4 linked regions of the Sus scrofa genome follow. The protein of the gene in region 1 interacts with the protein of each later gene in a pairwise test. Links are inferred from orthologs where the notes say so. Each region holds a gene or a part of one and is shown in the gene's direction. Other genes may lie near its edges.

Region 1 (7,263 bases):
AATTGGTCGTATGTGGAGGACTTTTGATTGGAATAGAGAGGGAACGTTAGAAATGAATTTCAGGGTATTGAATCTTACCTGTAGGTAAGATAGGCTTCGTGTCCTAATTAGAGCAAGTTACTGTTCTTTAGATATCAGCAGGAGCTCCTATTGTGGTACAGCGGAAACAAATCTGACTAGGAACCATGAGGTTTTGGGTTCGATCCCTGGCCTCGCTCAGTGGGTTAAGGATCCGGCGTTGCTGCGAACTGTGGTTTAGGTCGCAGTCGCAGCTCGGATCCCGCATCGCTGTAGCTTTGATTTGACCCCTAGCCTGGGAACCACCAAGCATAAAACAAAACAAAACAAAGAAATCAGCAGAATTAGTATTCTGAGAGAAATAATTCTTTACCATGGAGAGGTACAATAGATATGGGTGTTCCTATTATCACAGCATTAAAAAGTATTGGTTTCTGGAATTTAGGGGCATTTCAAGAGAGATCTCTGCTGATGCCTGCGGATGATTTCTGCGTGTGGTTGGCGTGGGCTTTTTCGTTAGCACATAGAAGATCATTAGAATTCTTGACCGAGTACAGGCCAATATATTCAGTGTGGTGATAAAGGCAGTAAGAGGATGTCAGAAAGTAAAAGGGTGCCCGGGTTGTGTTGAAAGCCCAGGCCTGACAGTGTGACATCTGACTGTTCACGCTCTCAGCTTTTTGTGCTAAAAGTGTAAGAGGAAACCAACCATAAACAGTTGAATGGAAACTTTAAATACAATAAACCAAGAACTTTAAGAAAATGCTCACAAGCTCCTAAAATCCCAAGACTCTGTCTTGGTTGGGGTTTGGAAGATGGGCAGACAGGGGAAATCTAGGAAGATGAAAAGAAGGGCGGTTATCTGAAAGAGGACAGAGGTCCACTGCAGCATGGAACTTTCCGGGCCTCCGCATGTGGTATCTCTTCTGTCTTTAGAAAAAGAGAAACTATTCAGCTTTCTGCAGTCAGATTTCTAGGCAGGGGAGTTGGGGGCTGGTCGTCAGTGCTGCCTCCATGGGATCTCACCTCTCTGCCTGTCCTCTGCAGAAGAGTTGCAGCAGCTGCGGGACCGCTACCGCTTCCTGAATGAGGAGTACCAGGCCCTGCAGGAGAGCAACAGCAGCCTCACAGGGCAGCTTGCAGAGCTGGAGAGTGAGAGGTACAGCCCGGAGGCGGGGGCCCTTTCCCCGAGTTAGAACCAGTGAAGGCAGGTGCCAGGCTCACAAGCTTCACTCGGCCTCTGGAGGGCTGGTCCTTACCATGGTATCCAAAGGGTATGGATATTGCCAGGAAGCAGACCTGGGGATCCAACCCAGGTATCCCAGGACTAGAGTTGAGTGAGTTCTAAAATTTACTTCTCTTCTGGAGTTCTCATCGTGGTGCAGTGGAAACGAATCCGATCAGGAACCATGAGGTTGAGGATTTAATCCCTGGCCTTGCTCAGTGGGTTAAGGATCCGGCATTGCCGTGAGCAGTGGTGTAGGCTGGCGGCTGTAGCTCTGATTAGACCCCTAGCCTGGGAACCTCCATGTGCTGCAGGTGCGGCCCTAAAAAGCAAAACAAACAAACAAAAATAAATAAAATTTGGTTCTCTCGGAGTTCCCATTGTGGCTCAGTGGTTAAGGAATCTGACTAGGAACCATGAGGTTGCCGGTTCGATCCCTGGCCTTGCTCAGTGTGTTAAGGATCCAGCATTGTCGTGAGCTGTGGTGTAGGTCGCAGACACGGCTTGGATCACGCATTGCTGTGGCTCTAGTGTAGGCCGGCGGCTACGGCTCTGATTAGACCCCTAGCCCGGGAACCACCACATGCCTTGGGTGCGGCCCTAGAAAAGACAAAAAAATAAAATAAAATAAAATTTGGTTCTCTTCCATTCTCAGCATTAGTTCTGGTGTGCTCTGCCCTAGCATAGATGAGTAGCAATCCTTGGTTGTCCTCACAGACTTTATTCAGTCTAATGGCATATTGCCTCCAGATTGGAGCTGGCTTGACTCCAGGCCCAACCTCGAGCCCAGCTGGACTAGCACTCCCAGAGCCAAACAAGCCTTTGCAGATGGAGGTGCTAGGGGCTTTTCCGTTATCTCCTGAGCGTGTTTGAGAGGTGAATCACAATGTAGAAGGCTCCTGACTATCCTTTGCCTAAAACAAGGCATCAGGACCAAGCACACCTGGCGGGTGATGCCAGGCAGAGCTCTCTCCCAGTCATGGCTCTGGGGTTCTGGGTTACAGGACACGAAGAGCAACAGAAAGGTGGCTGGAGTCCCAAACACTGCGGAGTATGATGTCAGCAGAGTCTCAGACTTCAGAAGCCGACTTCCTGGAGCCTGATCCTGAAATGCATTTGTTGCGACAGCAGCTGCTGGGAGCTGAGGAGCAGATGCATGACATGCAGAGCAAGGTAGGGAGAGGCAGGCGCCCTTCACTGGCTGCTTCTCACCTTCTCCTGGCCTGTGGCAGCAACACCTCCTTTGACACGAGGCTGACGAAGGAGGCACGTGCTGTGGCAGGAGATGGTACTCCACGGGCTGGCTTGCTCGCCTGCTGGAAATATCCCAGTAAAAAGAACGCCATGCTCTGCCCAAGCCCGTTCCTGGAGTGCACGTGCCCATCGTAGTAAGTCAGCCTTCCTGATCCGTTTCCCACACAGTGTAAGAAATTGTGTTGTGAGTTGCAAGAGCTGCAGCATCATCACCGGACCAGCGAGGAGGAGCAAAGGCGGCTGCAGAGGGAGCTCAAGTGCGCACAGAACGAGGTGCTTCGGTTTCAGACTTCCCATGACGTCACCCAGGTAAACACTGACAGGGGAAGGGCATCGGGGAGGGCAGAGGGCCCACATGGAGTCGCCCCCTCAGGGGAGGCCCGACCCAGAGGAAGGCTGCATTCTGCTGACCCTTGCCCTGCAACCAGGGGTACATTCCACCAGAGAGCAGTTGGCAAAGTCACATAGCATGGCATTCTAGAAACGGTGGTCATTATCCAGCGTCTGTCCCAGAGAAGACACTAAACCATGGGCCCGTGGGAGCTCCTCAAGATGTCTGCCTCTGGAAACGAGCCACTCTGGTCTGGAGAGGGGTCTGCTGATTCATGAGCGTAACCGTTCTGTCCACACCCTCCCCACCGCAGAACGAGGAGCTGCGGACCAGACTCTGTGCCCTACAGCAAAAGTATGATGCTAGCCAGGATGAGCAGAATGAGCTCTTGAAGGTGCAGCTACAACTTCAGGCTGAGCTCCGGCAGCTCAAAATCACGAAATCCCAAGTCGTAGAAAGCCAGAGTGAGAAGGTAACACCCACCAGAGGTGAGGGGCCGCTTAGGTGCCAAGAGGCTCGGGGGGAAGGGGATAAGAGCAGAGCACTGAGATCGCGCCAGCGACCCCCTGTGCGGTGCCACAGGTGAGGAAGTCCAGGAGTCCTCCGCCAGCTGAGAGGACCCCCCCAAGTGCAGGGCAGGGGGAAGCGGGTTCTCAGACTGTCCGAGTCTGAGAGCGACTCAAGCAGAAGAGCGGCTGCGGATCCCAGAGGTACTGCCCCGGGCCCCTCCACCGCAGGAGTTACTGTGCCGGCTCCAGAAGCTGCAGCTGCAGTACCAGAACATCACGTGTGAAAAGGACAAGCTGCTGGACGTGCAGCAGCAGCTGCGGGACAACCTGCAGTGCCACGAGGCGGAGGTGCAGCACCTCAAGGGCGTCGTGGCCTCCTTCCAAGACAGCAGAGAGAAGGTAAAGGAAGCTGCAGGTGACAGAGAAGGTAGCGGCAGGCTCTCCCGTGAGTGGACCCAGGAGGAGAGGGATGGTAGGAGTTCTGTGGAGGAGCTCTTGGCGGCAAGGAGAGAAGAAGGTGCTTAGTGGAAAAGTGATCTCCGAGGGTCATGATGGGCCCAGCTTCCTTTAATTTTGAATCAGAAAATCAGCCTGTAGGGGTTCCTGTTGTGGCATAGTGGAAACCAACCCAACTAGTATCCATGAGGATGTGGGTTCAATCCCTGGCCTCGCTCAATGGATTAAGGATCTGGCGTTGCCGTGAGCCGTGGTGTGGATCACGGACGCGGCTCAGAGACCGTGTGGCTGTGGCTGTGGTGTAGGCGGGCAGCTGCAGCTCTGATTAGATCCCTAGTCTGGGAACTTCCGTATGCCACAACTACAGCCCTAAAAAGCAAAAAGCAAAAGAAAAGGAACCTGTCAAAAGGAAGCCCCTTTCCTTCGCCACCAAAAGAGGGCGTCCCAGGGTAGAGCCTGTTAGGGACTGGCCCATCGCAGGTCGTTCCCGTTGGGATGAAACCAGGACTGGAGAGGACAGGGTAGGCTCCCCTGAGTCCCTGCCTGACAGGAGGGGGTGCAGCCACAGGGGCTGCTGGGGTGACGGCAGGGTCTGCCTCCCCCGCCCCAGTACACGGAGATGCGCGCCCAGCTGCAGGAGGTGAAGCGGCTCCACCAGACCAGCCGGGATGCGCTGGAGCAGCAGAAGCACATGTACGATCAGCTTGAGCAGGACTTCCTGCTCTGCCAGGAGGAGCTGCAACAGCTCAAGACCACCCAGGCCATCCAAGAGGACAAGGGGCAATGTGCGAATAAGGTAATTGTTATTAAGAGAGGTGAGAGCTCCCGAGCCCTGGAAAGAGGAGGTATGGGGACAAAAGATGAAGTCATCCAACCGAGGGGCTTGATGGACTTCCTGTCCAGTCGCAGCTCACTGTGGAAAGGCAGGAAGCAGAGGCAGCGCCCCATGCAGTTAACTTTAAAACTTTGCCTTGGAGTTCCCGTCGTGGTGCAGCGGAAGCGAATGCGACTAGTAACCATGATCCCTCGCCTCACTTGGTGGGTTAAGGATCTGGCATTGTCATGAGCTGTGGTGTAGGTCGCAGATGCAGCTCAGATCTGGTGTGGCTGTGGCTGTGGCATGGACCGGCAGCTGTAGCTCCGATTAGACCCTTAGCCTGGGAACCTCCATATGCTGTGGGTGCACCCCTAAAAAAAAAAAGCATCAACTTTACCTTGACTTTGAGTCCAAGCCACAGTACCTCTGGATCTAGTCTGAAGATTTTATACATGATTCCATGTGTGTAGACATGTATACCTTGTTATTAGAACTGTAGTGCTACCTTGTCATTCGTGGAGAGGAACACACACATCGGCCCATGTGCATAACTCTTTTTGTCAGAGCTAGAAAGAGAAGGTGCCGTTTTCTGAGATGCTCTTGTCGAAAGGCATGGTCTGTGCCCAGAGTGCTGACTGGGTATGAGAAGGCCCTGGGCTCTTCCAGGATTTATTCTGTGCCTTCAGAGTAGTTAAATTCCAAGCGTGAATTAAGCTTTGAATTTATCTTTAAATGGAACAGAATGCTACTCTTATCTCACTTTCTTTTAGGAGAAAATCCTGGTAATGATAAGGCCTACCTTCTTCATTTTCCCCTTTTTTTTTCTATAGTGTGCCAAATGCACATCCTTAGCAGTCAGGCTTGTTGAGCACTTTCAGCTCCCGGTCACCGCTAGGAAATGGAAAGATGTTGACACATGATGGAGAAAAGGGGCAAGATTCTCAAAAGATGGTGGAGCCAGTCGCCTCCTGCCACGGCCGACAGCGGGCTGTGTCCCCAGGGAAAGGCTTTCGGAGGACACAGCGGGGGAGGTGATTTCCAGCTGCCTGTCTATACCCAGGCTCACTTTCCTCCTCCCCCCACTCCCACTTCACTGAGAGGTCTGGGGGTCCGCAGCGTGCTCATCGCCCCCTCTCCTAGCGGAAGAGACCACGAAAGGGAGAAGCTGCTGGCCTACAGAACCGGCCTCTCCTTTAGTCCTAAAACAGCAGCGAGATTAGTTGGATGTTAAAAGATTTCGGAAGATTTGGGTTTTTGGAATCATGGGATGATTTAGTCTTTTCAACCAAAATTCAGAAATTCATAATCTTCTAAAGATTCTTAAAGCTGATCATGACAACAAAACTGGGGGGAAACTAGGGTGAAGGGTGAAAGGTGAAAGGACGTGTCCTCAGCGGTAAGGAGCATAATTGGTTATAGAAAGATCTGGGGATAAGGAGAGTAACAGGAACGGGAATTCCCTACAGGGGAAAAGGGTACAGATCTGCTGAGAAGGGAGGGACTTTGATAACTCGCTCCCTTGCCAGCCGTCCTCAGAGAGGAGTACAGCCCAGCCCAGCGGGCGGTCCAGAGCAGCCTGTGGGCTGCCCTGTCAGCATCGAGGCCTGCAGGGGTGCAGCGGGGCTTGGGGTGATCTGTCTAAGGTGACTGTGGAGCAGGGGGGAGACCCTGATGAATCACGAGAGGTAAGAGTGCAAAGGCACTCTCGTGCCCAATTGGAGAGGCAGAGACAGGGGAGCCTGCCCCCCAGGGTAACGGCCCCTCCTCCGTACCGCACCCGCCCCGCCCGCAGTGTGACACCCTGCTCTTCAGACTGACAGAATTGCAGGAGAGGTACAAGGCCAGCCAGAAGGAGATGGGCCAGCTGCAGATGCAGCAGTGCGAGCTCCTGGAGGAGCAGAGGAGGATGCAGGAGGAGCAGGGCCAGCTGCAAGAAGAGCTGCACAGGCTCACGTTCCCGCTGCCCAAATCTGGTCTCTTCCACAAGGTAACCACAGCCAGACACGGCTGCTAGCTAGGAGAAGCCGCTCGGAGGAGCTTCCTGGGTGTGACTGCACTTGGGAGAGGTAAAAGGGTGGGGCTCCAACTTCTTTTCCTAGCCAGCCACTCCCTACTTGCTCACCAGTCCCCTCAAACAGAACAGTTGAGGATAACTGATTAGGGTCTTAAGTCTTAAAATGCATCCTGTACTCTGGGATCTGTCCAGCATTTCATAGTTAGATATTTAGTCTGTGCGCAGAAAATGTTCTTGAAAGAACTTTGTCAACTGCAAAATGCATCCCAACGTATAAGGTCACTACCACTCAACGAATAGGTCTCCATAGAAAGACTACAATGCCCCTGGCCGGTGGGCTGTACACTGCCAGCTCCCTTAAGGCAAGGGTCCCCGGCGGGAAGGAGGCAGAGGTCTCCCCGTGGAACCACCACAGCTCCTGCCTCCTTTGTACCTCACAGAGTCAGGAGCTACTTACAAAGTTACAAAACCTGTGTGAACTCCAGTTGCTCTACCAAGGCATGCAGGAGGAGCAGAAAAAACTGATACAGAATCAAGAATGTGTAATAAAGGAGCAGTTAGAACTGCACAGCGCACTGCAGCATTTCAAGGAGTCTGGTTTCCGGGAAGTGTTGGAGGGTCCTGAGAATTCCAGATCAC
Region 2 (7,715 bases), on another chromosome or scaffold:
GAAGTTCCCAGGATAGGGTTCAAAATGGAGCTGCAGCTGCTGGACATAGACACAGTCACAGCAACACGGGATCCAAGCAGCATCTGCAACCTACACCACGGCTCACAGCAACACCGGATCTTTAACCCACTGAGTGAGGCCAGGGATTGAACCTACATCTTCATGGATACTAGTTGGGTTTGTTTCTTGTTTTAAGCCACTAATGCTTGGGGATAATTTGCTATGCAGCAATAGAGAATTATAATACCTGGTAACAACAGTCCCAGGCTCCCACCTTCTACCTGGAATTCTCCCCCTCGCCACATCCTTCAGATCTCCCCTCAGCTGTTACTTCCCACAACCATTTCTAAACTCCCTTTACCCATCCCCCTACCCAGTTCATTTTTCCTCCTGGCACTTATCTCCTATCCTTGTTTCTTGTCTCCCCTACTAGAATGCTAGCTCGATGAGGATTTGTTTTATTTGGTGCTGTGTCCACAGTGGCTGGCACAGAGTAAGTTCTCACTATGGTGGCCATTATGATGAGAATCTAGCAGACCTGACTTGTAACAGGGCTGTTTTAGGTTCCCACCCGTTTCCTACCTGCTCAATGCCCACCCTAACCAAGGGATGGGATGTAGCCATGCCCTCCCCCTCCACTGGATAAGGAGTAATTGGCAATTATAATGGGAGAGCCCCTCCACACCTCCCCACTTCCCTCAGGATAAAATCCCAGGTCCTATGTGCTGCCTAAAGGCCCCCATCCCTGCTTGCAATCCCACTGGCCAGCCACAAAGAACTGTGAACTATTTATATTCACTAATAGAGCAGGCTCCAGAGAAAGGTGCATAGACCCCACAAACAAAAGGTTGAGGTTCAAGAACACATTAGAACACTTCTCTTTTTTTTGTTTTTTGGCAGCCCCTTGGCTTATGGAGTTCCCAGGCCAGGGATCAGATCCAAACCACAGTTATGACCTATGCTGCAGCTGAGGCAATGCAAGATCCTTAACCCACTGTGCAGGGCCGGGGATCGAACCTGCATCCCAGCACTCCAGGAACACCACCGATTCCGATGCGTCACAGTGGGAACTCCGGAACATTTCTATTTTTTTTTTTTTTTTTTTTTTTTAATAATATTTATTTATTTATTTATTTATTTTTGCCTTTGTCTTTTTGTCTTTTGTCGTTGTTGTTGTTGTTGCTATTTCTTGGGCCGCGCCCGAGGCATATGGAGGTTCCCAGGCTAGGGGTTGAATCGGAACTGTAGCCACCGGCCTACGCCAGAGGCACAGCAACGCGGGATCCGAGCCGCGTCTGCAACCTACACCACAGCTCACGGCAACGCCGGATCATTAACCCACTGAGCAAGGGCAGGGACCGAACCCGCAACCTCATGGTTCCTAGTCGGATTCGTTAACCACTGCGCCACGACGGGAACTCCCGGAACATTTCTATTTTTAATGTCCTTTTTTTTTTAGTCTGCTGAGGAATATCTTTATGTACTGAATACATTATTATTAAATAATCTATGGAATCTCTCAGTATAATTGTATTTGTATATAGTTTATACACAAATAGCCACCTGGGGATGGAGCTTGAACATAGGGGTGCTCACTGAAAAATGATTTTTGGAGTCATTTGTCCTAATGCAATTTAGCCCCTCAGAGGGTATTTGGCAGCATCTGGAGACACTTTCAGTTGTCTCAACTGGGGCAAGTGTGCCACTGGCATCTGGTGGGTAGAGGCCAGGGATGCAGCTCAAAACCCTACAATGCACAGGGCAGGTCCCCACCACAAAGAACCATCCAGCCCCAAGTAGAGCTGAGGTTGAGAAGCCCTAGATTAAAGCGCTAGATTCTCTTGATTCTGGGGTCTTTGCAGGACTAGCTCCCTCCTTCCCTACTCCATTCTTCGCTTAGCTGAGACCTCATACTTCAAGGATTCCTCAGAGAAGCCATTTCTGAAGCCTTCAGGCTGGGCCAGAGCCCTTCCTAAGAGCTCCTCTAGCCCCCTCTTCGCCCCCTGCTAGGTTAGAAAAGTTCGGACCCCTGGGGTTCTCAACCTTCCCATTTACAGTGTAAATTCCCTGTAATCCCCTAGACAGCCTAACTCTGGACAACTGCTAGAGACCCCGGGAATTTGTGTTCTTAACAAGCATCTCTTCCTTCCCCCCAGCTGCTTGCCCCTCCTTATCTTACACATAGTAGGTGACCCAGTGACCAGTTAAGTGTCTACAACCTGCCAGGCGCTACTAACTGCTCTACGCAGGGAATCGAATCCTGGCAAACACACACCGCCCCCGCCACCGCCCCGCCGCCAAAATACACCCAGACTGTAGCCACTACCATCATCCCATCTTACAGAGGAGTAAATTGAGGTTCAGAAAGGGGACGTGGCCAGGTAAGAGACTCAGAGCAAGAAAGGGGTCCAGGTGCTGAATACTGCCTGATTCCCGGGGAGGGGAGGGGATGGAACAATGAAATGGGGGGGCGCGAGCTAACGGGGGCGCGGAAACTCGCCGCGGCCTTCCGATGCGGCCCCACCCCCACGAGGGACGTGAAGACGCGGACCCCGCGCAGCGTGGGGACATGTGACCGACTGCAGAGGCCGCGCTGCCTCCCCCGCCCGAGGTCTGCGCGCTCCGCCGCAGGGTGCAGATCGGTGGCGCCCGCCTGGGTTTGGGGCGCAAGAGCAGAGGCGGAGCCAAGGCGGAGCCAGCGCGCCCCGTCCCCCCTTTCCCTATCGAAAGCGAAACGGAGGGCCGGAAAGGAAGGGCGGAGCCCGCCTGGAGGCCCCGCCCCCTGCCCTGCGCGGCGGCAGGACCGACGGGCGCGCCCAGGTAGGGGGTCGCTGAGCGCGCAGTGCGGACCCTCGCTGGGACCTGCGCCGCCACCATGTCTCAGGAAGGTGTGGAGGTAGGAGATGGCTGCCAGTGGGCCGGGGGCCTGCGAGAGATGCTGGGGAGGAGTTCGGGGCGCGAAAGGGGCTTCGCAGTTCCTGGGGACTCCATCTGAAACCCAGACCAATCCTTAGGCTGGCACTCGTTCCCCTCAGAAAGGAGAGTGGCCACCACATGCCCTAGAGCGAAATGCGGCCTCCTCGAGGAAAAGCGGAGGCTGCTGGGTCAAGGGTCAGAGGCCAGGGGTTACCTGGCGGGCCTCCTCTCTTAGCCTAGGACGCTCACCCTGGTCCGCTCCCTCCCCCAGTGCCTTGTAGGGACTTTGGCTTTTTCCAGGAAATGCAGTAGAGGGATTGGGGGGGGGGGGGTGCTGTGCAGAAGCCAAAACCAAGGGTCAAGTTCAGGCCAAGAAAAAGGATGCCTAGGGATGGGGGAAGGGCCATCGCTCCTCTCCTTCCTCCTTCGGAGCCCCCTGTCCCCACCCCAGCTGGAGAAGAGCGTCCGGCGCCTCCGGGAGAAGTTTCATGGGAAGGTATCCCCCAAGAAGGCGGGGACTCTGATGAGGAAATTTGGCAGCGACCACACCGGAGTGGGGCGCTCCATCGTGTACGGTGAGCAGGCCGGATCGAGGGCCTGGTGGGGGTTCTGCAGAGGAGCACTGGAGGGGGGTGTGGTCTGTGTTGGGGGTAGAAAGAAGCGATGAGATCATCTCTTTGGGGAGCGGTCTGTATCAGGGGTTCTGGGGACACTGAAACTCCCACAAGATCTTTCAAGGGCCCTTCACTTACACTTACTCTCCCCACCAGGGGTAAAGCAGAAAGATGGACAGGAACTGAGTAATGACCTGGATGCCCAGGTAAACTGTCCCTCTCCCTCAAAGGATGTGCTAAGGGGAGGGAGAACAGAAGGGTAAGCTCATTCACGCTGAGCCCCCGCTGTGCACTGTCAGTCCACAACTCATGGTACAGCCTCATTCACTTATTCACCTCTCAGTCTTGTATCTGGCTGGCGGGCCTGCAAACAGTAGGTGCTCATTACATGCTGACTGTATTCAGTGGGGGTGAGACAAGAAACTAGCCAGTGAAATGAATCGGGATTAATGTCATTTACAGAGGAGCCACAGAGGTCAGGGAAGGCTTCCTGGAGGAGTTGGAAGGAAGTTGTTCAAGATCAGGGAGGAGTCATCCCTGGGAAGGGGAGGAGTCAGAAAGGGTCTTCCTGGAAGAGGGAGGCTGTGCGAGCAAAGGAACATGCGGACAGGCTGGGATGAGCAGGAGGTGGGGGAGGAGAGAGGGGCAGGGGATCCCAAAGGAATGAATGAATGAATGAATGAAAGGCTTTGAGGCATAGACACAACAGGGCCACTTTGCCCCTTAGATGGCTTTGGTGTCTGGTGCACTGGTTTCACCTGTCTAAAAGGCCCAGCATAGAGTTCTTAAAAAGTGTAATAAAGGATGAATTACACTCTTAACATTCATATATTTACATTTATACATATGATGAGTATGATAAAATAGCAAAGAGTGTCATTGATAAAGCACTTCCCCTGTGGCAGGACTCCAGGACTTTTACCTGTTGACTGATTTCATTGCCACAGGTCCTATGAGACAGGTCCTATTAAGATACTAGCATGTCCATTTTACAGATGAGAAAACTGAGACACAGGGTGATGAAGCCACTTGCCAGGTTCATGCAGAAGGCAGGTGACAGCTGGGATTTGAACCTCCGCCACCTAGAGTCAGAACCTGGGCTCTTAGATGTCCCTCAGTAGTGGGAATGGCTTGGCTACACCCCCACAGCTGGAGGTAATGAGGCCAGGATTTCAACCCCCATCTCCCTAAATCCAGAGCCCAAGCACTTAGCCTAAAGCAGCATGGCCTCAAAGAGGTGACCTGTCACCATGCCAACAAATGTGTGGCATTTGTGAGTAGGACAGGAGCATGGGGTCCAGGCCTGCCCCACCAGGTTCACTCAGGGTAAATTCAGCAAGCCCTCTCCCAGCTCTGGGCCTCAGTTTCCCCATCTGAACAATGGGGGTAATAAATATGCCTACCTCTCAGGGTTGCTCTAAGGACAACTGAAGTCACACATCCTGCCCTGAGGAAATAGATACTTCTCAGTCAATCAACTCCTCCTGAGTTAGGAACACCCTGCTTTTTTTTTTTTTTTTTTTTTTTTTTGCCACTTCACGGCATGTGGAGTTCCCAGGCAAGGGATCAGACCTAAGCCTCAGTTGCAACCTAAGCCGCAGCTGTAGTAATGGAGTATCCTTAAATCGCTGTGCTGGGCCAGGGATCAAACCTGCATCCCAGCACTCCCAGGACACCATTGATCTGGCTGTTCCACAGCAAGAACTCCTAGGGACACCCTACTCTTAATATGGGGCCAGAACCCCCGCTCCCCAGAAGCCCCACCCACAGAAAAGATGCATGAGCCACATCCCCAGTTTCTGCCCTGGTGTCTCCACTTAGGACCCCCCAGAGGATATGAAGCAGGACCGTGACATCCAGGTGAGTCCAGGATGTGGGACGGGAAGGTGAGCAGGGAGGACATCCATGGGGAGGTCCCTAGGTGAGGACGAGGGACGCTGTAGGGGGAGGAAGGGAAAAAGAGGGCTGACAACCCTCCCATCCCCACCTACACCATCCTACAGGCAGTGGCAACCTCCCTCCTGCCATTGACAGAAGCCAACCTACGCATGTTCCAGCGTGCCCAGGAAGACCTCATCCCTGCCGTGGACCGGCAGTTCGCTTGCTCTTCCTGTGACCACGTCTGGTGGCGCCGCGTGCCCCAGCGGAAGGAGGTGATAACCCAACCCCTGACCTTGGTTCTGTCCTGACTCCACTCCCAACCCTCAACCTCAGTGTCCAAACCCTTGACGGAAGAACATCAGCCTCTAAGAACCCAACCCCCGACCTCCAACCTCAGAGATCAACCCGAATCGCATACCCCAACCCCGACTGGACTTCTCTTTCAACTTGAGAAGCTCGACTTTTACCCCAGAGCCTGATCTCGGATTACATAGTTTGACAGCTACCGCAGAAGTCAAACCTGACCCCCCGCAACTACAACCCTATATCTGGCTTCTGAACCCCTTGACCAGTGGTGTGCTTCTGGTAAATGCCTATTAGCCAGCTCTTGTGGGGTGGAGGCAACCCCGGATTTATAGTGTTTGCCAATTTCCATTGTGTAAATCTCACTGTGGTCAACATCAAGCTGTTGGTACTTACCTCTGACCTCAAGCCGGCTCCCCTTTCCGCACCCCCAGGTGTCCAGATGCAGGAAATGCAGGAAGCGCTACGAGCCAGTGCCACCCGACAAGATGTGGGGCGTGGCTGAGTTCCACTGCCCGAAATGTCGGCACAACTTCCGGTGAGGGCACAACTTCTGGTGAGGGTTCTGACCTCTAGTCCCCACTCTCGGCCCCGCCCCACCCCACCCCTGCCCCTCCTAGCCCCGGCCCCACACTGGCCCAGGCAGCCCTTGGACCCTCACGGCCCTCCCCGCCCCCAGGGGCTGGGCGCAAATGGGGTCCACATCCCCCTGCTATGGGTGCGGCTTCCCCGTGTTTCCAACACGGATCCTCCCTCCGCGCTGGGACTGGGACACGGATCGCCGCAGCAACCACACCCACTCCTGCTCAGCTGAGGACTGCTACAACCGGCGAGGTGAGGGCCTGGTGTGTCCCCGTGGCCTTCCCCAACTCTGGGCAGTCTACCTGGCCTTGATTCCTGGGACATCCACCCTGGGGATTTAAGTACCAGGGTTTCTGCTTGCCTCTTCTGCACACCTCCCAAGGCCACATCAGTCCTGGAGGCCCTTTTGTCTCCCAGCGCATCTGCCCCTCCTTCTACATCTTCCATGGTCCTCCAAGTCTCCTTACCTCCAGGTCCCTCAGGACCCTTGCCCCTCCTAACACCCACCTCCCATGGCATTGGCCACCTTCCATTGTCTTACCCATAGGCTCTGTGGTCTCACTCCAGTGGCCCACACCCCAGTGTCCTGTGGCTTCTGCCCTTGTGGTCTCTGCGTTCTTGGCTCCCATTTCGTCTCCCATAGTCTCAGGTGACGCCCATGTACCTGAGTCTCTGGTGGCTTCAACACCTGTGACCTTCGCCTCTGAATCTCCTGTAGCTCTGGCCCATAGCCTATAGCCTCTGCCCCTCCTTCCCCAGAGCTCCCCGTGGCCTTAGCCTCCTTGCCCCCAGAGTCTCATGTAGCATCAAGGTCCAAGGACCTCAGAACCTCTCCCTCCCCAGAGCCCCACGTGCCTGGGACCTCCTGTGCGCACCCCAAGAGCCGGAAGCAGAACCACCTGCCCAAAGTCCTGCACCCCAGCAACCCCCACATCAGCAGTGGCTCCACAGTGGCCACCTGCCTGAGCCAGGGGGGCCTCCTGGAAGACCTGGACAACCTCATTCTGGAGGACCTGAAGGAGGAGGAGGAGGAGGAGGAGGGTGGGCATGGGGAGTGACCCCTGCCAGGTGCAGATGCAAACCAGACACGGTCTGTGGATACTTTGTGTTGTTATAAAATGTGAGCTCAAACGGAGATCTAAATGCCCTTGGGGAGCGGTCTGGGTCTGAGATATTGGCAGGGGGATTCCCGGGTCCTGTGTTCAGGGCCCCCAGGAGCAGATCCACAATGGGAAGAGGTCTGTGGGACATGGCCTGCACTGAGCCATGAAGGAGGTGTGGCCAGGACAACTTGGGCTCCTGCTAACAAACATCCCCCTGGGACCTGGGGGAAAGATGGATAGATGGTCACAGCCTCAGGGGCCGGATCAGCATGGCCGCCTTCTTGAGAGAGTAAGCCCCACCACGAAACTCGGCCCA
Region 3 (7,845 bases), on another chromosome or scaffold:
ACTCTTTCACATTTTACAGGTCTTGCTATATTTCACAAAGTTGTGGGTCAGGAAGGAGCAGATTTTTATCCCCATTTGCAGACAGAGAAAGAGAGGCCAAGAGCTGTGCCCAGGCCACACAGGGAGACTGGGCAAAGCTGGATCTGGAACAGCTGGTCTTGACCCTTGACCACCAACCATCGTTTCATAAATCATCAGTGTCTGTATTTGAATCATCTCCCTTGTACCAGGCTTTGCCACCTGGAGCCTTAAAATAAAGGCTCGGTGGGATGGGGAGGGGGCAGCATGCCCTTCCTCCTGCACATAGCATGGGGCCCGAAGTTTGCATTTCAGACCCACATGCTGCCAGGAGCCAGGCTTCAGAGCTTCAGCCAATCAAGTCCTCTAGTCAAGCAGGTTTTCCGTGTGGCTGATAAGCCATGTTTCAGCAGAACTCCTAAGCAGATGGGGAAAAATTAACAAATGTGTAAAATTACTTTTCTCTCTTCCTATCCCACCAAGAGCCAAGCCAGTGGATAATTATGGGATGGCTGCCAGAGGAATTTGATCTTCAGGGTTGTCTCATGGCACTTTTACTGATTTAGTTTGCTGCTCTTTCCAATTTTGTGGACTCTCCTTACTGCAGGGAATCAAATGCTACAAACATGTATACCCCTGCCATGTTTGGAACAGGGAAACAAGTAATGAAGAGCAGTCGAGGCAGGGGCTGGACCCAGGAGAAACAGCAAATAAAGAAGTCATACTTTTGCTTGGCTGGAGGGGGCAAGGGTGTTGGGGAAAATAGAGCAACAAGAAATACTGATAATTCCATGCAGGGAGCACTTGTGTTGAGCCAGGACTGTGTTGAGCACTCTATATACTTGGACTAGTTCATCTAATCCTCCTTCACTTATTTATCCACTTCACCAATGTTTTGTTTGTTTGTTTGTTTGTTTGTTTTTGCTTTTGAGGCCCACACTTGCGACACATGGAGGTTCCCAGGCGAGGGGTCAGATCGGAGCTGTAGCTGCTGACCTATGCCACAGCCATAGCAACACAGGATCCGAGCTGCCTCTGCAACCTACACCACAGCTCACAGCAACACCAGATCCCCGAGCCCCTGAGCGAGGCCAGGGATCGAACCTGCAGCTTCATAGATACTTGTCAGATCGTTTCTGCTGCGCCACAATGGGAACTCCATCCACCAATATTTATTGAATGACAGCAATGTGCCCAGCACTACTTGAGTCACAGGGGGTAAACTGATGAACAAGACAGACTACGTCTCACTTTTGTGGGGCTGCCATTCCAAGTGGGGAAGCGCAATGATAAACACAGAAATAGTATCATCCCCGTTTCTGATAAGTGTGGTGACAAAACAACAGAGAACCCAGGAGGCTATTTTGCATAGAGAGTCAGGGAAGGCTTCTCTGAAGAGGTGAAACATGAGCCTGATGATAAAGAGGAAAGACTCATGCAAAGATCAAGAATGGAGTCAAGGGAGATAGGACAGATTTCAGGCAGAGAGAACAGCAAGTGCAAAAGTCCTGAGGTAAAGGGGGTGGTGGTATGGCCAGGAACTGTCAGGGAGAGAGGGATGTTGGGCCAAGGTCTGAGGGGAAAGAAAGGTTGGATAGATGAGACCTTGAGAACCATGGGGGATTCCATTCTATGGGCAAAATCAGATCTAGAACACCTAATATTTGCCTCTTCACCCCCAACTATCACTTCATAAATCATCAATTTGTGTCATAAACCATCACTGTGCCAGGCACTGTGCTGGAGGAAAGGGAAGGGTTTCCCCACCCACCCAGCTCTTGGGGAACAGCGTTGTGCTTAAACTAGTTTCCTGGGACTTGCCAATGGGCAGTGGGTTAATCACCAGTATCACAACCAACATAATAGCAGCACCTAAATTCTACGGGGAATCCTCTGCTCAGCTTTACATGAATGACCTCATTTCATCCTCACAGCCCCGTAGGCTGGGGCCGTTGTCATCCTGCTTTAGCCAAGAGGAAGATTATAAAACGGGGAATGACGTGATCAGATTTATGCTTTAACGAAACAAAGGCTTCAGCTGTACCCACCTTCCCTTTCAAACCTCACAGCAGCCCTGTGTGCTGATTATATGACCCCACACACACAAGAGGAAGGACCTAAGGCTCAGAGAGGTCAAATCATGGGAGGAATAGAGCTATGACTCCAGCTCAAGGTGACTCCGGCCTTAACCTTGCCCCACGCTGGCAACATAGAGAAGCAAGTGGGTGAAAGCAAGGAGGAGGCCGACTGCTGGGGGACGTTGAGAACTTGGCCCCGGGCCTGGAATCTGGCCTCCAGATATTTTCCTGGCCTGAGCCCAGACCAGCCACCCTCTGGCCCTCCCCGCCTGGACCGTTGCCCCGTGGAATGAAGTGTGCTGCTCTCTCTGTCTCTGTGCGGGGAGAACCCCGGGCCCGAGTGCCTTCTAAGATCTATTATTCATGGGGCCGAGCAGCCCTGGGCTTCATGGCCCCACACAAGCCCTCCGATCCCCATGCCGCGACAGCCCCACGCAGCCCCTTCTCTCTCATCTGGGGGCGAGAAGGTCAAGGCGCGCCCTCTGGACCTGCCAGGGGTCACTCGCGGCGCCTGAGCTGCCGACTGTGGCTGCGGGGTGAGAGGACGGTTTTGCTTCTCAATGACGCCGGCTGCCTCTGTCTCTCTTCCCCGAGAGGGGCAGGGGTGCAGGAAGCGAGGAGCTACAGGGACCCGGGGAGGGCATGTGGCTGCCTGGGGACACCGGGCCCCTCCGTCAGGATCAATCACCCTAAGCCTGTCTGAGGAGCTGCCGGCTTAAGAGCAGCTGTGAAAGCTGCCTTTGTGCCTGAGGAGAATGAGCCACGAGAGGACTGGGGACCCCGGGAACCCCTCGGACCTCGGCTCCTGAGATCAGCGCTGCAGAGAGGACTCCAGCCCGGCCCCCAGGGTCCAGCCAGGCTGGGTGTCCACGTCATACCATGGGAGCTGCCCAGGGGAAGAAGGTAGGAGCTCCCAAGGGTCCTGTGGGGGCCCTGGACACGGGAGGGGGCTGCATCTATCAGGTGGGAGTCCTCACACAGCACCCACCAGCTCCTTGGAGCCTCAGCCAGGCACTGCCCGCCCACCTCCCTCCCTGAGCTCACAGAAAAGATTTGCATCTAGAAACCTGGCTGGGGCTCAGGGCAAGGCCAGCCTCTGATCCTTCCATCTCTGAAACAGACTTCCTGGTCTTATACTCACACACCCCTTTACTGCCCTGCTACAGGCTCCCTAACCAACCCCTGCCACCACCACAAACAACCACCCCCAGCCTCGGTTCAGGTGGATGCAGAGTCAAGGAAAAAAACCAATGATCACTGTAATTAAGCTGGCTAACCAACTGTCACCAGGTGTGGTAAAGCTGTGGGCAAATGATTGATGCTCTCTGTGACTCATTTCGTCATCTGTGAAGTGGGGACAATAGTAATCCCTACCTTAGAGGCCGGCAGTGAGAATTTAAAGATGTGAAGTGTTTGACAGAGTGCCTGGCCCAGAGTGGGCTATATACAAGCTGTGATCTGTTGTTAGCAGGACTTTCATGTTATTTCTCATCACCTTCTCAGTCTGGGATCTCACTTGGGAAGGTTATAGCATAGTCAGTGCAGTATTCCTTGGAGTGTGGGAGGGGGCTTGTCAACAGTCACCTTCTCAGGCTGACATCAGAGTCTCTGAGGAGGGACTGGGATTCTGAGTCTATTCACCTGCTTTCAGGGGGCTCACAGCCCATACCGACCACAACTGTGATCCCAGCAGTGAGGTCAGGCTGCCCAGGTCCCAGCTCATCCACCTACTTACTGTGAGGAACTAAGCCTCTCTGGATCCCAGCTCATTTGTAAAGTGGAGCTGGTACCCATCTCGTGGGAGGTTCCATGAAACGTCGCCCTTCAAGCACTTATGATGCTGCCTGACAAGCAGAGAGCCTGATACCACAGAGGCTCTAATCCTCAAACAAGTCATGATGCGTTAAAGGCAGGGAACTGAGGCTCAGAGGCAAGACGTGATTTCTTAGCCAGGGTCATGCAGCTAGAGGAGAAAAGGGAAGGATTTTGATCCCCTTCTGCTTGACTCCAAACTTATGGCCAACCCAGCCCATCCTACATTTTTCAGATTTGGAGACAAACACATCATGGACCACAAGGAGGAAGCACTCCGGACTTCAATTTCCCCATTTGCAGAAATGGGAGTGTTAGGCTAGAGGACCCCTAAGGGCGTTCTAGTGCTGGCTTCTGCTTTCCACCTCCCTTGCTTCATATGCAGAGTCAGGCCTGGAAATTTCTGCCTCCCTTCAGCATCCCCAAAAACATCTCCCCCTGAAAACTTGATTATCCTGGGGCTGGCACTTCCCCCATGCAATGCTTACTCCTGCCTGCAGGGGTCAGTGTGGGTCAGCTGCAGTCAAGGCAGGTGGTGACCTGACACAGCCTTTGGGAGTCCCAAAGATGCCTTCCCAGCCAAGCCTTGAGCCCCGGCCCTAACCAATCCCCACTTTCAGGAGCACTGTTCCTGCTCCTTCTCTCTGCCAGAAGAGAATGAACTCAGCCTCTAGACCCTATCTGTGCTGACCATGAAGGTGGAGAGTCATCTTGGAGACCAGCTTCCCAAACCTAGAAAAGACCCTAACAAGGTCTAGCAAAATATACCTTGAGTACCACCTCCCTATTCTCTCACATGTGGCAGACATCACAAATTGATCCCTGCACATTTTCCCACTAAGTCTAGAGAGCCTCACTGTCCTCAATACAGCAAACCGGGACTCCCCTAACAGTCAGTCAGAATTAGCCCCCAGGTTGAAAGCCATGCTATCCATGGGCCCAGTCCCTTCCCACGCCTTCTGGGAAAAGCCCTCCCAGAGAGAAAGCAGCAGGGAACTGTGATAGGAACGGGAGCTTTAGAGTCAGCCAGATCTGAGTCAGTTCCTCCACATCCTCGTTACCTTGGGCAAGTCACCACACCTCTCTGAGTCTCATATTCTACTTCAATAAATGAAAGATAATAGGAGTTACCATTGTGGCTCAGTGGTAACACACCTGACTAGGATCCATGAGAACGCAGGTTTGATCCCTGGCCTCTCTCAGCAGGTTAAGGATCCAGCATTGCCATGAACTGTGGTGTAGATAGCAGACATGGCTTGGATCCCAAGTTGCTGTGGCTGTGGCATAAGCCAGCGGCTATAGCTCCAATTCAACCCCTAGCCTGGGAACCTCCATGTGCTGCAGGTGCAAAAAGACAACAAAAATAAAAAATAAACAAAAGATAATAATCCTCCTCAGATTGTTGTAAAACCTAAATGATAGCATGCCTGGGAAGAAATAGGCACATATGCAATATAGTCTCTTCCTGAAGTGGACCCTCTCTTAAGTGCATCCTCTTCTGAGCCTCACAAGTCTTCTTTTGAGCCAATGAGGGCATCCATATCACACCCAATGGCTGATGAAAAAGCTGAATCCCAACAGACATAACTTCCCCAGCTTCTCAGTGGTGAACCATCAAGGAGCAAAGGCTGTGAGCGAGCTAGGTCAGGCTCTCTCTGAGCGATCCTTCATCTGTGAACCACCCCCACCCAAAGCCCCATGTGCCCACCTCTCTTTCTCTTTCTGGAGGCAACAGCCCCACTGGCCTCTGGGTGATGTGTAACAGGCTTGCTGTGCAGAATGTAATCACCCTCACCCTTGCATTTCTTCTCCCACTGGCTTGTCCTGTAAAGTTCTCAGATCCGACCCACAGTTATGGTTTGTTTGTTTTTTATTACTCAATTTATTACATTTATACTTTTACAATGATCATCACAATCCAATCTTATAGGATTTCCATCCCACAACCCCAGCACATCCCCCCACCCCCAAAACTGTCTCCTTTGGAAACCATAAATTTTTCAAAAGTCTGTGAGTCAGAATCTGTTCTGCAAAGAAGTTCAGTCTGTCCTTTTTTCAGATTCCACATGTCAGTGAAAGCATTTGATGTTGGTGTCTCATGGTACAACTGACTTCACTTAGCATGATAGTTTCTAGGTCCATCCATGTTACTAAAAATGCTGGTATTTTGTTCCTTTTAATGGCTGAGTAATATTCCATTGTGCATATGTACCACCTCTTCTGGATCCACACCTCTGACTATGGACATTTACGTTGTTTCCATGTCTTGGCTATTGTAAATAGTGCAGCAATGAGCATCAGAATACATGTGTCTTTGCAAGTCATGGTTTTCTCTGGATAGATGCCCAGGAGTGGGATTGCTGGGATCAAATGGTAGTTCTACGTTTAGTTTTCTGAGGAATCTCCATACTGTTTTCCACAGAGGTCGCACCAACTTACAATCCCACCAACAGTGTACTACAGTTCCTTTTTCTCCACACCCTCTCCAGCACTTCTTGTTTGTAGACTTTTTGATGATGGCCATTCTGACTGGGGTAAGGTGGTACCTCATAGTGGTTTTGATTGACATCTCTCTAAGAATGAGTGATGCTCAACATCTTTTCCTGTGTTTTTTGGCCATCTGCATGTCTTCTTTGGAGAACTGTCTGTTTAGATCTTCTGCCCATTTTTTGATGGGGTTCTTTGGTTTATTGGTATGGAGCTTGTGGAAGGTGTTTATTAATTTTGGAGATGAATCCCTTGTCAGTGGATTCACTTGCAAAGATTTTCTCCCATTCTGTGGGTTGTCTTTTCATTTTGTTTAGGGTTTCCCTTGCTGTGCAGAAACTTTTCAGTTTGATTAGGTCCCATTTGTTTGTTTTTCTTTTTATTGTCAATACTCTGATAGGTGGATCTGAGAAGATGTTGCTGTCATTTATGTCAAAGAGTGTTTGGCTATGTTTTCCTCTAAGAGTTTGATAGTGTCTGCTCTTATATCTAGGTCTTTAATCCATTTGGAGTTTATTTTTGTGTATGGTGTTAGGGAGTGTTCTCATTTCATTCTTTTCCATGTGCCTGTCCCGTTTTCCCAGCATCACTGATTGAACAAGCTGTCTTTTCTCCATTGTATATTCTTGCCTCCTTTGTCATAGATGAGTTGGCTGTAGGTGTGTGGGTTGGATTCTGGGCTTTCTATCCTATTCCACTGATCTATATTTCTGTCTTTGTGCCAGTACCATATGGTTTTGATGATTGTTGCTATGTAGTACAGTCTGAAGTCAGGCAGCCTGATTCCTCCAGCTCCATTTTTCTTCTTCAGGATGTCTTTGGCTAGTCTGGGTCTTTTGTGCTTCCAAACAAACTTTAAAATGTTTTGTTCAAGTTCTGTGAAAAATGTCCTTGGTAATTTGATAGGGATTGCATTGAATCTGTACATTGCCTTAGGCAGTATAGTCGTTTTGATAATGTTGACTCTTCCAATCCAAGAGCATGGTATGTCTTTCCATCTAGTTGTGTCATCTTTGATTTCTTTCATCAGTGTCTTACAGTTTTCAGAATACAGGTCTTTTGTCTCTTTAGGTAGGTTTACTCCTAGGTATTTTATTCGTTTGGATGTGATGGTAAACAGGATTGCTTCCCTAATATCTCTTTCTACTCTTTCATTGTTAGTGTATAGACATGCCATCGACTTCTGTGAATTAATTTTGTATCCTGCAACATTGCCAAATTCATGGATGAGCTCTAACAGTTTTCTGGTAGAGTCTTTAGGAGTCTCTAGGTATAGTATCATGTCATCTGCAAATAGTGACAGTTTCCCTTCCTCCTTTCCAATTTGGATTCTTTTTATCTCTTTTACTTCTCTGATTCCTGTGGCTAGGACTTCCAAAACTATGTTGAAGAGTAGTGGCGAGAGTGGACATCCTTGTCTTGTTCCTGATCTCAGTGGGAATTCTTTCAG
Region 4 (7,722 bases), on another chromosome or scaffold:
TTTCCTTGAACTTTCAAATACAAAAGTAACTGTTAACTTATGATTTAATAACAACAACAACAAAGTCTTATTTTTTGGGGGGAAAGTGGGAGGACAATTTGGAGGAATTTGGGTGCTCAGTGGGGTGGAATTGTAGGAGCTATGAAATTACAACTGCTTCTTCTTACATTATGGATACAGTTTATTTGTAATTTTTTCACTTTAAAATTGAAGTCACTAATCTTATGATTCCTGTGCTGCCTTGACTTTGTTTTTTTTTTTTTTTTTTTTTTTTTTTTTTTTTTTTGTTGTTGTTGTTTGTTGTTGTTGTTGCTATCTCTTGGGCCGCTTCCGCGGCATATGGAGGTTCCCAGGCTAGGGGTTGAATCGGAGCTGTAGCCACCGGCCTACGCCAGAGCCACAGCAACGTGGGATCCGAGCCGCGTCTGCAACCTACACCACAGCTCACGGCAACGCCAGATCGTTAACCCACTGAGCAAGGGCAGGGACCGAACCCGCGACCTCATGGTTCCTAGTCGGATTCGTTAACCACTGCGCCACGACGGGAACTCCGACTTTGTTAATAATTAATTTCCTTTGCTTGGCATATCTTTAGTTCGCACCATAGTGTTTGAGAGCTTCCAGTCTGTGGATCTGAGCAAATGCATTATTGAACATTCTTCCAACAGTTCTCTTTGCATTTTGCTCCTCTGGCCTTCTCATTACCTAGTCTCTAAAACACACCAAGCTTGTTGCTTTTCTTAGCAAGCACATTGCTGATAGCTTATTCTTTTTCTATATGCCACTCCTCTTTGTAGGGAAGTCTCAAATTTTACTGATGTCACTGTCAGGACTGGTAGGTTTGTGTCAGCTGGAGGAACATTAGCCTCTTGCTCTTAAACTGTAGCATCTGTGGTCCCAAAAGAAGAAGCAAAGTCACCTAATGTAACACAGTATGCATACACATGAGTGTTTCTGTGGTGGAAGCTTGCATATATCAAAGGATGTCTGATACAGTCTTCAAATATGCAGCCAACTCTGACATGGACAGTGCAGGTCAGGCACAGTTCCTAAGGGACTCTTGTAATCTCTCCTGTTGCTGGCCTCAGGCTGAGTTGGGAACTCACGATAGTCCCAGAGTAAGCTCTACTGAGCCCCATAAAGCACTCATGGATTAATATGAAAGGGATGATTGCCCATAAGATGTGCAGGGATCTGACGATTAATTGATGCCTCCTAATCCCAAATGTTTAGACTTAAGATGTGAGCCTACATATCAAAAATCGTAACTTATTATGTTTCTTCAGCATTCCCTCATTATCAACTAAATTAGCATTTTATGTAGTCTGACTCATTTTGGTAAAGATTGTAAGTTCTCCAGGTCACTTCAAAATTGATGGTGTGCTCATGTCTTAAAATAAATTGAAAAACCTTTTTTAAAAAGTCACTGATGACTCTACATTTCAACATTTATGAAATCCCTACTCTGTATCATGTCCTGTGCTAGACACTGAGACTTTATAGAAAATGGTAAATAATTTCTGTTCCCAATATATCAACACATACTTATGGTAATTCATTACCTGCTGAAGTTACTGGTTTTATGACTTGTCCTGTGCTCACTGCAAATAATTGCACAATTTGCACTAGTCATCACTTCTGCTTGGAAGTTCCTCTTCTCACTTTTCCATCTGTGAATGCCATATTCATCCGTTCTTTAATATCCAGCCCCAAACAGCTTTTATCTCTCCAATAAAGACTCTATTTTCCCTCTTCTGAGCTCCACAAGGACCAATCATTTGTGTGTGTTTGTCTCTTTATGCATTGGTCTCCTTGTCAGCAGGGTGACATTCATCTTATCACTAGCACCTAGCACAAAACTTGGCGCATACTCAGTGTTTCATTAGGGTGAGCTGTGTTGACTTGGGGGAAGTAGCTCAAGTGCATCTCCTCTGTGTGTGAAGAATGTTTTATAATAGAGTGATCACAAAAGACTCCATGCCCCTCACCCCCAAGGAAACTGAAGCACATCAGAAAGCAAACCCGGTCCATATCTTAGGAAAGGTTCTTCAGTGACACAATCTTGGAAGTGGAATTGGGCCGTCTTCTTCATGACATGAGCTGTGGCCTCTTGGTGCTGAGGACCCCATTGTTGACACAGCTAGCCATGTTTTCATTAATTTGAATCAAGAAGCCATTTGGCAGCGGAGTATTACTGACTCTGGCATACTAATTATGTTGGCACTTCCCCCCCTTTTCTGACCAAAGGGAAAAGGTTGTAAGGAGATTGCTGCAACGGAGGGAAGGAAAGCAATTCAGGAAAGGCCCCATACACAGCCCAAAACACAAGAATACACAGTTAAAAATACAAGAATATTTCACAGATTGCCGGATGTCATAATTCTTCTCCACCTGTCTGCAAGAGTTCAGTGCTAATCTTCTATTCAGTTTTGTGGGTGTTAATTTACATAGAGCAAATATAGGTGAGAGAGTTGAAATGATGGGTGCTAAAAATTTTAGTTCCTAGGCTGTGTTGTTGACTTTGACTAGGAAATCAAGATTTAACTGTGCCTCACTTTTTTTTTTCCACTTTAAGAAATAATCGTAATCCAAAACTAACATGGTAGCCAAAGTTCTGCAACAGCTATGGACTCAAAAGATGGCTAAAAATCCTCAATAGAAACTCTCCCGTAATTAAGCAGCACCCGGCAACACAGGTGAGAATTATTAAACACTACAAAATGATGCCAGTTCATTGAGGCAAGTATTGAAAAGGGTGGAATTAATCTACCCATTATTATACTGACTTATTTCATTGAGGCTGTGCCTATAAGGAACATTAAAGGTCAGGGGGTGTGGTGTTCACTGTGTATATAGCATAGGAGCTCTGTTGGATATCTGCTGTTTTCCTCTCTAGGTATGTGCTCTTTCCTTCCCTGTTACTTGACTGATGTCTCTGTAGGCCACATTGGCAGGGTTCCTGTACCTTCTGTCTTCTGGTTGGGTTTAACCTACAGGGAGCTCTGGGAGACTGAAGGGAGAAAGGAGAAAGAGAATAGGGTATTTATTCTCCACAATCCTTTCCTGCACCATTGCCTTGGGCTGGCTCTGTTTCTCAAATTATATTCTTGAGTTAGCCTACTCTACATAATTTTGTCATGTTCTGAGTTCCAATAACTTCTCCCTTGTTTCTTAGGACCTAGGGATGGTGACAAACTCCACTGTTACTAGCCTCAGGTTCTTGCCCTATATCTTGTGGTTCCACCTACACCTAAATTAATAGTTTGTACTTAGTAACTTTATCAACCCTCTATGAATTTTTTTAAATTCTAATATGTCATGTGTTTCTGACAAGACAAGGCAAGACTGACAGCAGTAAAGCTTTGTTGAATGAAGTATCCTCAAATAGCACAATAGAAGCTGGGGTATACAAATGTCATTATATGATACAGAAAACAAACTTTCTTCAATGAAGGTCAAAAGATGAAGCATAAACTGTGTCAGCCTTAAAAAAGAAAATGGGTTCCCTGTTATAAGTTTTAAAAGGTGAACAAAAGAACATGTAGGCAGCTCAGATCAATGTTATTTTACCAGTTTGTAGGATACAAGTTCTCAGAGCAGCTTCAAACATTATGCAGTTCTTAAGTACAATTGAAATTTTATAATATACCCACTTAAATCATTGTAATCATTTTCTGGATGAATAGTTCTTAGTGGATATAAGTACTCCTATATCTGATTAGAAAGACATATGTACAAGTATTCATTGTATTTTTGGCATTTTAGGTTGATTTAGCATTAAAAGATGGGGTTAATTGCCAAAAATCACCTAGTGATAAGACGGAAGAAGGATTTTACAAGCATAGCTCATTTTCTGAACAGTTTTACAATGTTGGAAAAATATATCTGTGTGAGTAGAAAATGTCAACTTCTACACTGACAGAAAGCAGCAAATCAAATCGCTCAGGCTTTAAGCAGAATAAGATTCTCCTTACATGATCTGGTGCTACATGTTTGAATAAAGTAAAACCTTCAGCAATCAGGAATCTTCATCTTCTTACAGTTTTTGAAAGTATCATTTTTATATTTATCAGATGCCTTAAGGAGTCCAAGTTCTTACAAATGAGAAAATATTTTTTTTTCTTTCATGATTCTCTCTCATTTTAGATAATGTATCTCTCTTTAAGTTTTTAAAATTAAACACATATATAGCATATTACCTGTAACTCTCAGTAATCTGGAAAAGTAAATCTGCATTTCTTAAAGATTCTTATGATTAGAGTAATGATGCAGCCACTCTATAGTCATATTACAATTATTACACAACTTTCTTACTTGGAAAACAGAACTTAAATTAGCATGCAAGAAATCATATTTTATGAATTATTAAATATGTGTCATTGGTGTTTTAAAATCAATACATATTATTTAGTTACATAAATCAATCAGACTATAGCTAACTTAGGTAACCAGTTATGTGCTGTTGAATCCATGGATTAAATAATTTAAAATGATAGAGTTATGCCAGCAGTGCCAGTAGAAAAACATTTTCTTTTTTTTGTCTTTTTTTTTGCCTTTTCTAGGGCTGTTCCCGTGACGTATGGAGGTTCCCAGGCTAGAGGTCCAATTGGAGCTGTAGCCACTGGCCTACTCCAGAGCCACAGCAACCGCTGGCCTACGCCAGAGCCACAGCAGTGCGGGATCCGAGCAACATCTGTGACCTACACCACAGCTCATGGGAGGGAATGCCGGATCCTTAATCCACTGAGCAAGGGCAGGGATCGAACCTGCAACCTCATGGTTCCTAGACAGATTCGTTAACCACTGCGCCACAACGGGAACTCCAGTAGAAAAACATTTTTAAAGCATCCGCTATGTTCCAGGTGCTTTTGAAGATTCATAACTAAAACATAGTCCTTAGCCTTAGAAAAATTGTAATCAAAAGGAACGGAGAAAGTATGCATGTGATTGAATAAAATATAAGTTGAAACATGATAAATTCCTTCATAGAAATTTTTTTTTGTCTTTTTAGGGCTGCACCCATGGCATATGGAAGTTCTCAGGCTAGGGGTTGAAGCTGCTGGTCTATGCCACAGCCACAGCCACTCCAGATCAAAACTGCATGTGTAACCTACACCACAGCTTATGGCAATGCTGGATCCTTAACCCACTGAGCAAGGCCAGGGATTGAACCTGCATCCTCATGGATACTAATCAGTTTATTAACCTGCTGAGCCACAGTGGGAACTCCCCCTTCAGAGAAATTTTTGAAAAAAAATGGTACAAGTGTGTATAGGATTAGAGCATATTTGGTTGAGTTTATTAGGAGAGAAATCACTGAGGATGTCTGAGGATGAATTAGACCTTGAGGGATCAATAAGATTTCAAAAAGGAAAAAAATGAGACCACTGGTGGGAATTAAAGAGAAAGAGCCTTGAATGAAGAAACAGCATAACAAAGGCATGACAGTAGGAAAACCTAGAGAATATTTAAGGGCCAGCCAAAAGTCTAAGTTAACTAAACGTAGGATGAGAGGATTATATACAGCATCCAACAGATTTGTACTATGTACATGAAGTACGAATAAAAATTTTTGCTAGTGTCTGTGATAAACATAGTCAATAAAATGACATAATCTTTGTCTTTAGAAGTTTGCATTCTTGATGGGCATAGAAGGGCAACAAATAAATACCTATTTAATTAAAATTCTCAAACCTCACTTGGCATGAAGGATGAGAGAAAAAGTAACAAGTGGATGTGCCTTGGCTTTGAGAAAAACTGTATTTTTGTTTGTTTTGTCTTTTTTTTTTTCAGGGTTGCAACTGTGGCATATGGAGGTTCCCAGGCTAGGGGTCGAATCTGAACTGCGGCCACCAGCCTATGCCACAGCAATGCCAGATCTGAGCTGCTTCTTCAACCTATACCACAGCTCATGGCAACGCCAGATCCTTTAACCCACTGAGTGAGGCCAGGGATCAAACCCAAGTCCCCATGGATGCTAGTCGGGTTCTTAACCTGCTGAGCTGCAATGGGAACTCCTGAGAAAAATTGTTTTGCTTGTGAGCATGCTTATTCTAGGGAGACCAAGAGGAAAGCCAACCATGAGCTGGGGTCTTTATCTCAATTCTCTCTAATCAGATTTCTGACCCACTGGAGAGGACCAGGTGTGAGGTAGCAAGAACAGTGGGAGTTTTCTTCCCAGTTCTTCCTAAATAACTCATAAGTATAAATGGCCATTTGTCTTTTATGGACCAAAAAAAAAAGAGTTTCTTTTTATCCGTAAAAGATAGATTTGTAGAAAACATTGAAGACATGGTTAGGAATTTGTCACTTGATTTAAAAATAAAAATATTTCATTAAGTTCCTTTTGGGGTTCAGCGGTAACAAACCTGACTAGGACGCAGTCTCACTCAGTAGGTTACGGATCTGACATTGCCCTGAGCTATGGTGTAGGTCGCAGACACGACTCAGATCTGGCATTGCTTTTGCTGTGGTGTAAGCCAGCCACTGCAGCTCTGATTTGACCCCTAGCCTGGGAATTTCCATATGCTGCGGGAGCAGCCCTAAAAAGCGAAAAATTAAATAAATAAATAAAAATATTTCTACTTACTACTAAGTAATCGACTACTAGAAAAAATATATAGGCTATTAGGGGTATTCTTTCTGATTATCTCTCAAATTCCTCAAATCACAGACTTTCCTATGGAATTTGTATTCTAAACATCAAAATTTTCTCTGAAATAAAGGATTATTTCAGCTCATACATAATCCATTTATTTTTAAAGCATTTTGCTGAAAAATCAGGCAAGACATACATGGTCTCTCTATGCCTTAATAGAGAAATCAAGGGAGTTCCCATTGTGGCTCAGTGGTAACAAACCTGACTAGAATCCATGAGAACACAGGTTCGATCCCTGGCCTCACTGAGTGGGTTAAGGATCTGACATTGCTGTGAGCTGTGGTGTAGGTTGCAGATGTGGCTTGGATCCCACATTGCTGTGGCTGTAGCATAGTGGAGGTCCCCTTCCTCCCTCTCTCCCTCCCTTCTTTCCTCCTTTCCTTTGCTTACTTCCTATTCTGGTTTATTTTTGCCTTCATTCCTTTCTTTTCTTTCTTTTTCTCCATTATTGGGGAAAATTTTAAATCCTTTCAACCCCCAAAATCCTCTCCACAGAATATAGAAAAGAAAGAAAACAGATTGTATTTTTTGAAAAAGCATTAAGTCAGAGTACAATGTGCTTCTTCATAGGAAATCAGATAAGAATAGAAAGAAATCCCATTCTTTTATATAGCCAGAGCAGTTAAAATCCATTAGATAACATATTCACTATATTAATGGTAACTTGTCTTCTTATAAGAGGACTTAACAGCACCCTTTGCTATGCATTCTTTCATAGTTCATCCAAAGTTCATCTGGTAATTGAGGCTGCCATTTTTTGGCTAATTGCTTTTATCCAAAGGAATACTAAAATTTCTCTTATTTCTATGAGGAGCAAATGGTTTACAGCTCAGAGAAAGGCACCTAGGCTAGACGTTGAAGATAACAGAAAAATAGGGTCACTGTCTTTCTTAAGGTTTACATTTCAAAGAGATGGTTTTTAGACCCTTAAAAAAACATTCCTTAGTTGTAATGCTGACACAGGGTTTACCTAGCCCTTGCAAAGATTTGCATATATATCAAAAAGTTGGAGAAAGAATTCACAAGCATTATATTTCTCTGGGGAATGCTCTAAGGGGGAGGGA

The links.
Region 2: the proteins of CCDC136 (region 1) and C2H19orf66 interact in binary tests that used the Homo sapiens proteins (3 or more experiments, as listed by UniProt). The two-hybrid records come from large-scale screens. The link is inferred for Sus scrofa from reciprocal best matches to the Homo sapiens genes CCDC136 and SHFL.
Region 3: the proteins of CCDC136 (region 1) and FAM107A interact in binary tests that used the Homo sapiens proteins (3 or more experiments, as listed by UniProt). The two-hybrid records come from large-scale screens. The link is inferred for Sus scrofa from reciprocal best matches to the Homo sapiens genes CCDC136 and FAM107A.
Region 4: the proteins of CCDC136 (region 1) and melanoma-associated antigen B4-like interact in binary tests that used the Homo sapiens proteins (3 or more experiments, as listed by UniProt). The two-hybrid records come from large-scale screens. The link is inferred for Sus scrofa from reciprocal best matches to the Homo sapiens genes CCDC136 and MAGEB4.

The regions. Positions count from the first base shown.
Region 1 is NC_010460.4:19,805,337-19,812,599, reverse strand, and holds part of CCDC136 (coiled-coil domain-containing protein 136), read left to right. Parts: intron 1-1,065; coding exon 1,066-1,177; intron 1,178-2,247; coding exon 2,248-2,416; intron 2,417-2,665; coding exon 2,666-2,806; intron 2,807-3,141; coding exon 3,142-3,300; intron 3,301-3,565; coding exon 3,566-3,736; intron 3,737-4,403; coding exon 4,404-4,589; intron 4,590-6,402; coding exon 6,403-6,597; intron 6,598-7,064; coding exon 7,065-7,263. UniProt on the Homo sapiens protein: May play a role in acrosome formation in spermatogenesis and in fertilization.
Region 2 is NC_010444.4:68,939,678-68,947,392, forward strand, and holds C2H19orf66 (UPF0515 protein C19orf66 homolog), read left to right. Parts: upstream 1-2,568; 5' UTR 2,569-2,875; coding exon 2,876-2,896; intron 2,897-3,367; coding exon 3,368-3,491; intron 3,492-3,686; coding exon 3,687-3,736; intron 3,737-5,351; coding exon 5,352-5,390; intron 5,391-5,533; coding exon 5,534-5,683; intron 5,684-6,148; coding exon 6,149-6,252; intron 6,253-6,393; coding exon 6,394-6,548; intron 6,549-7,139; coding exon 7,140-7,354; 3' UTR 7,355-7,430; downstream 7,431-7,715. Other genes in the region: ANGPTL6 (angiopoietin-related protein 6), read right to left, coding at 7,644-7,715.
Region 3 is NC_010455.5:40,364,562-40,372,406, reverse strand, and holds the start of FAM107A (protein FAM107A), read left to right. Parts: upstream 1-2,698; 5' UTR 2,699-2,975; coding exon 2,976-2,999; intron 3,000-7,845. UniProt on the Homo sapiens protein: Stress-inducible actin-binding protein that plays a role in synaptic and cognitive functions by modulating actin filamentous (F-actin) dynamics. Mediates polymerization of globular actin to F-actin. Also binds to, stabilizes and bundles F-actin.
Region 4 is NC_010461.5:25,892,849-25,900,570, forward strand, and holds the start of melanoma-associated antigen B4-like, read left to right. Parts: upstream 1-2,575; 5' UTR 2,576-2,696; intron 2,697-7,722.